2 linked regions of the Saccharomyces cerevisiae S288C genome follow. Changing the gene in region 1 together with any one later gene gives a genetic interaction. Each region holds a gene or a part of one and is shown on either strand. Other genes may lie near its edges.

Region 1 (3,716 bases):
TGTTAACTAGCTCCCAATGGTTGGTAGTCTTATTCTCGAATGGCAATTGAGAGGCGGTTGGCTCGTGGGTGATCAAGAAATCAAAGGAGGGCCACATTTCCTGCAGTAAAGTCGTATTTTCAGTCTTATCGTAATTGATGCCGTACACACCGTAGTTCAATTCACCAAATAAAGTGACACCTGTCATGCAAGGAGGTATGCTGATATGAACTGTAGCGTTTGTAATATTTTTTTCCACAATCATGTCATTAAAAGAAGTTAAAGCCTCGCCGCCTGGATAATTCATTCTTGATATATACAAGAACGCCATTGAAATGAAAAAGGAGGTCATTATAGATAAGGGCAATATAGCCAAACATAAAACATTGGTAATCTTTTTTACTTTCATATTCTCCCATAGATGTGCTGCTCCTGTGGCACCTAGCAACATGATAGATGGAACAGCGTAGATGATGAATCTCCATTCTTTGTGAGGTTGAAAGGATAAGACGATAATGTGGAAAAGAGATGCTAGTGAGACAATTTTTAATTTTGCAGGTGCTAATTTATAGCCGAAGTAATTCAATAGTAAAACAGTTGGTGGCATAAACATCATTCTCAAGTAATGCGTGAAATAAGCAGTAACTGGCTCCACACCCCACTTGGAAGCGTAACCCGCAACCACGTTGAACAAGAAACCATCTACCTCAGGTAGACACCATTCTTGCCAGAAATATGAATCAACGGTGATACTGATGGCGGAACCAAGTCCCAAGCCAAAGATACCGAATTTGATAGCATCGAATAAAGAAATCTTCTTGAAGATGACGCTAAATAGAGCAATACCAGCACTGAGAGCTGACACTTCCAGTCTAAATACAATTGCCACGAGCGCAGATAGGAATATAGCTGCATTATAACGACCCAATAAAACCCACCCCAATGCGACGTTGGTTAGAGGCAGAGTCATGACAAAATTAGGCAGAGTCCTAGTGCTGTAGAACATGAGGTGGAAACTGCCAATTAAAAATAAAAGAAACCATGTACCAGCGCTATCGTAAATGTATATATCCTTGTCTTCATTTTCTTCCTTTTTCTTTTCAGTGATTTCATCAAACATATCTTGCAAACAATTCTTTAAATAGATAAAAGAAAGCCCATTGGTGAGGCCAACAATCCCCCTAACGACCAATTGAACATCTATAGACGTAGGCCTGGAAGTTTGGATCAAAGAACTCAAGTAAAGATAAGGTCTCGAAAGCATTGCAATAATCACAGCACCAACGAATGTTCTAGGGACTACTCCAGGAAATTTCAAGTGGTCATATTGGGAGATATCAAATACGCTGTAGGTTAAAATATCATGAATGGCTTGAATATTAAAACTCTCTTCCACCTTGGTGAATGGAGCTTGGATTAGATGAAAGGAAATCACGGTCAATAGCACTGTATCAAGGACAGACCAACGCATTGTCAACTGAATCGTTGTTTAATGGCTTTATTCAACTCTTTTAACAACACTAATCGTTAATGGTTTCACTTGCTATTAGTAAATTCCTTGCGTTATAAACTGTGAAGTGCCACGACATTTAATGCCGGCTGGTAAAAGGTTGTTCATTTTTAAGGGCCGAATTTTTCATTTTCATTTTCATTTTTTTTTTTTTTTCACTATTGGAATAACATGTATATTATAAATATTATATAATATTAAATGTTTAATGCGCTTGTAAAGCCAAGAACACCCTTTTCATTGAGGAATTTTCAACTTTTAAAGCGGAAGAATGTCTGCATTGAGAAACATCAAGTTCAATGAAGAAGAAGATGGTGAACTACCCTGCCTCGTAACAGGTGAAGAAAATAATCTACAAGAAATTTTGGAAAATGTCTCGTATGATGGTGGAAATATTGTTAGCGATGCAAAAGTTGAAAGGGTAAACAAGCAAGTGGAGAACACTTCTGCAGGCGCAACAGATGTGCACGAGAAAAAGCGTATTCCTGTGAGCATTATTACCGGCTATCTAGGATCAGGTAAATCGACGTTGCTGGAAAAAATTGCATTAAAAGGTGCAGATAAAAAAATTGCCGTAATTTTAAATGAATTTGGAGATTCTAGTGAAATCGAAAAGGCTATGACCATTAAAAATGGATCGAACAGCTACCAAGAATGGTTGGATTTGGGTAACGGGTGTCTGTGTTGTTCGTTGAAAAATATAGGTGTTAAAGCCATCGAAGATATGGTGGAGCGTTCACCTGGTAAAATCGATTATATCCTTTTAGAGACCTCCGGTATTGCAGATCCCGCCCCCATTGCGAAAATGTTCTGGCAGGACGAAGGATTGAATAGCAGCGTTTACATTGACGGGATCATCACGGTTTTGGATTGTGAGCATATACTAAAATGCTTAGATGATATTTCCATCGATGCCCATTGGCATGGTGACAAAGTTGGTTTGGAGGGGAATCTGACTATTGCACACTTCCAACTAGCCATGGCTGATCGAATTATAATGAACAAATACGATACTATCGAACATTCACCAGAAATGGTCAAACAATTAAAAGAAAGAGTACGGGAAATAAATTCTATCGCACCGATGTTCTTCACCAAGTATAGTGATACGCCGATTCAAAATTTACTAGATATTCATGCATACGACAGTGTACGGATATCTGACATCTTAGATAGTGGTAGCGGAAACGGTACCATTCATGATGATCGAATGGGCACAATAATGCTTACTTTCAGACCATTAAAAAACGAGGAAGAATATAATAATAAGTTTATTAAGCAATTTTTGCAACCTTTATTGTGGAAGAATTTTGGAGCCATGACAGTGCTGGGAGGGCGTCGCCGAGATGACGGCCGTGATTGGGAAGTACAAAGAACTAAAGGTCTGATACTTATTGAAGGAGAGAACCCCATTGCTCGTGTAATCCAAGGCGTCCGCGACACCTACGATGTCTTTCCAGGCAAATATGACGGATCCAATAAAGAGTGTAAAATTGTGCTGATTGGGAAGTACCTAGAAAAGGAATCCATAGAGGAACTGTTACGTAAAACCCTGGAATGATGGTTGGCATAATAAAGACGAGGTAAGTTATGTATATTTATACGTATGTATGTGATACAAAATGAATGAATATTAAGCGGATGGATCGAAACATTTTAATCCTCTCTAATAGAAACTATTTTAGACGATCTGTTGAATATTCTTTTCCTGTACTTGGCCAAAACGTAGAAAAGTAACAATACCGAAATACCAAGCATAATCTTTGGTAAAGGATGGTGAAGCTGATTATATTTTGCGTCTTCTAACTTTCTTTGACTACCCTGGTATAAATAATTCTTCAATGTAATACCTTTCTCCAAATCGCCGTTTTGGTAATCTTGAAGCCTTTGTAAATACTTTTCGTGAGCTTCCTTTGCATGCTGAATCCTGTGTTCCTGGGATGAAATGTAACCTATTGTTATTGGTTGCTCTGGTTTGCCATTTTCGTCAGTTTTCACATTAGCTAGTTTATCCATCAGATCTTTTAACCCGGCGGTAACTTGGCCAAACACAACACTTTCACCTTCAAGTGGCGTCTCACTGGTCTCAATTATAAACTTAAGACCCTTATCGTCCTTAATCATGGAAACTCTGCCTGGCCTATCATGAATTAAACTATGATTTTCTTCCGGGAGTTTTGGAGCCAACATTTCCGTTTCTTCAATAGAGGAGGAAGAAACGGAGCTA
Region 2 (3,621 bases), on another chromosome or scaffold:
ATGGAACTTCTGGCGCGAGAAATAACCCTTCTTCGTCGAAAATCAAGCTACCTCCTTTGAAGAATCACCAGTTTGATTTGCCACCTACTATGGGCCATTCAAGTTTTGAGTCAGAGCAAGACACCTCCATTTCTCCATCAAACCGTTCGAACTTACCTTTAAAGTATACTGGCCTGGTGAAGAAGACAATATCTGTGAAGCTGAAGAGACCTCCATTCAACTCGATTGAAAATTTACATATTGTCTCTTATTATTCTGTAAAAGATATAAAACAAAATTGTCTAGTGACTCCTAAAGCTTCTCCTTTTTTGAAAGATGTTAGACCTTCACAGGAACTAATTGTCGCGATGGGAAATACAACCTTAGGCAACGTGAAAAACAATTCCACTACCACCGGTAATGGTCCTAATAATATAAACAATAAAAGCAACTCTTCCACTCCCCTGAATACTGTTATTTCCACGAATAACAATAGTGCTAATATAAATGCTGCTGGCAGTAATCAATTTACTAGTGCAAACAAAAATTATTATTATAAAAATGATGAAAGCTCTGGATACCCAATCACTCAATTTGCTCCCGCATTACCATCAACAACTTTGATGTATACGGCGAATCCACCTTATATCACTCAATCTCCTGATAACACTAACGCTACTGGTATGAATACACATGTTAATAATAACAATAATAATAGTAATAACAGTAGTAATAGTAATAATAGTAACAATAATAATAATAATAATAATAATAATAATAATAACAATAATAATAATATTAATAATATTAATAATGTCAATACTAATGCAGGGAACGGTAACAATCCAAATAGATTCCATAACGCCTCTTTTGCTTATAACACCACCGGTGACTTTATTAATCCGCAACAACAAGGACAAATTTCTTATCCATTTTATTATACAACAATTCCGATAAACAATCCTAACTATTATACCACACAACCTCCAAACCCTGTAACAAACGCTTCAACGAACGAGAATCAAGGCTATTCCACCTCCTCAACTCAACACCCTTATTATGGGCATCCTACTGAAAGTCAATCAGCATCAGCAGCCGCAGGCGCTACTGGCACTCCTGGTACAGCCGAGAATGTCCTTCCCGTATCCAGTATGCAGCCACTACTCCATCAAGCCAATAATAATAGTGCAAGCTCTGCTACCTCTACAGCTCCTTATCCGGTGTATTCTATGAATGTGAATGTTCCTTATTACAATTCTTCTGCTTCTGCATACAAGAGGGCACAAGAAAATACTACTTCAAATACGAATGCAGAACCTTCTGGTGCTACAAGCACTAACTCAGGCACCATGCTATCAAATCCTGCATACGCTAATTCTCAGTACACTCCATCGCAAGTGTATTACCAGGGATTCCCCCAATATGCCATGGCAAGTGCTCAAAATCCGTCTATGTATCAACACCAGCACCAACATCCTTTGCCCACTGTATATCCAATAGCGACGCCTCAACAAAATATAATGAGCTCTGGTCACACTTTGAGCACTATTGGATCTGATCCTCAACATCATCACTATCAACAAGAGCCCAACGACCACAAAAACTTCGCTATGGGTCACGCGAACAATAATATCTTAAACATCACCAATAATGATACGATGAACAACCTCAATACAAACACTTCAACTACTACACAATAAGTAAATATATTTTAAAAAAGTACTCCGATTTTCTTTTCTTCTCCTTGCCTTTTTGAGTATCGGGTTTACTCATGAAAATTATATCATTTTTCATTTTACAGTTTTATATACTTCGCTTCTTTACGTAATCATGCCTTTAATTTCATCTTCATTTGCCTATGGAAAAAAGCTATTCCTTTTGACATCATAAAATATCTTTATTAAAGAATCCCCTCTGTCAACATTTTCTACGAAAGATAGCTTAGTGTATTTTTTGAAGATGCTGTCGAAAATGATTCTCGACATACTCGCGCTGGTGGAAAAATGAAGTGGAAAAGATAAGCAAATTGATATATAAGCAAATAAACATATAATTTGGACGTACATCGAAATTAGTTGTTCTCAACTTATTTTCATTGTTTGATGAAAAGCGGAATATACATCACGGCTATATAATGAATAATGGAGACAATAAAACGACATTAGAAAACTCAAAAAATGCGTCACTAGCTAATGGAAATTATGCGATTCCCACAAAACTAAATAGGCTGAAAAAGAATGCTGACCCTAGAGTTGCTGCAATTTCAGGTGCTTTATCTGGTGCACTATCCGCAATGCTGGTCTGTCCTTTTGACGTTGCGAAAACAAGATTACAAGCACAAGGTCTCCAAAACATGACACACCAAAGTCAACATTATAAGGGGTTTTTTGGTACATTTGCTACTATTTTCAAGGATGAAGGTGCTGCTGGGCTTTATAAAGGTCTACAGCCGACGGTTTTAGGTTATATTCCTACTTTGATGATTTACTTTTCCGTCTATGATTTCTGTAGAAAATATTCGGTCGATATTTTCCCACATAGTCCGTTTCTCTCAAACGCTTCTTCTGCAATTACTGCAGGTGCCATCTCTACAGTTGCGACAAATCCGATTTGGGTAGTAAAAACAAGACTTATGCTGCAAACAGGTATCGGTAAATATTCCACCCATTATAAGGGTACCATAGACACATTTAGAAAGATCATTCAACAAGAGGGTGCTAAGGCTCTTTATGCCGGCTTAGTACCAGCCCTGCTGGGGATGCTGAACGTTGCTATACAGTTTCCTTTATATGAAAATTTAAAAATAAGGTTCGGATATTCAGAATCGACTGACGTATCGACAGATGTGACGAGCTCAAACTTTCAAAAATTAATATTGGCCTCTATGCTATCTAAAATGGTAGCATCTACCGTGACTTATCCTCACGAAATACTTCGAACTCGAATGCAACTGAAATCCGATCTTCCAAATACTGTTCAACGCCATCTCCTTCCATTGATTAAAATTACGTATAGGCAAGAGGGCTTCGCCGGCTTTTACTCTGGGTTTGCAACTAATTTGGTAAGGACAGTACCTGCTGCTGTGGTAACACTAGTATCGTTTGAATATTCTAAAAAGTATTTAACTACTTTTTTTCAATAAAGTGAAACAGAAAAATGTACATGACACAAGCTGAGGGTCGTAAAAAGCATCTTTCGCAATTGTTTCAACCTCATGACCCCTGTCTTGACTATGTATTCCTCTTTACGTCGGGCTACTCGCAAAATCAAGTAGTTTTAAACCTTTAGTATGTTGCAAATAAAGAGCAAAAAAAGAATTTATTCATCCCAGGAATCTCACTACATTTCGTAGGGGAAGAAATGTAGATTTGAGGTTCATTTGGCTCGTGAGAACGACTTGAACCTTATTCATACTTTATATAATATTTTAGGAGTATTGTAGCATTATGTATATTTTTCTTGCGGGTGTGCACTGCCGAAATAGCTGCTGAATATCCAGATTAAAAAACTAAACAAAAAACTGTTTCTTGTTCGAATAGTAAAAGAAGGTTTTCCCAAATGCTATTGTTATTTAGAAACGCTGGAAATACAGTATTTTTTGAAGAACTATCCGTTTTACCCGAACCTATTTTAATTCAATTC

Evidence for each region. A genetic interaction does not mean that the proteins touch.
Region 2: mutations in ZNG1 (region 1) and YEA6 together harm fitness more than expected from each alone (negative genetic interaction), as found in Saccharomyces cerevisiae (one large-scale study listed by BioGRID).

Annotation. Positions count from the first base shown.
Region 1 is NC_001146.8:676,533-680,248, reverse strand, and holds ZNG1 (GTP-dependent zinc transferase), read left to right. Parts: upstream 1-1,760; coding exon 1,761-3,050; downstream 3,051-3,716. Other genes in the region: ALG12 (dolichyl-P-Man:Man(7)GlcNAc(2)-PP-dolichol alpha-1,6-mannosyltransferase), read right to left, coding at 1-1,450; peptidylprolyl isomerase family protein CPR8, read right to left, coding at 3,146-3,716. UniProt on the Saccharomyces cerevisiae protein: Zinc chaperone that directly transfers zinc cofactor to target metalloproteins, thereby activating them.
Region 2 is NC_001137.3:142,214-145,834, forward strand, and holds YEA6 (NAD+ transporter), read left to right. Parts: upstream 1-2,113; coding exon 2,114-3,121; downstream 3,122-3,621. Other genes in the region: MIT1 (Mit1p), read left to right, coding at 1-1,679.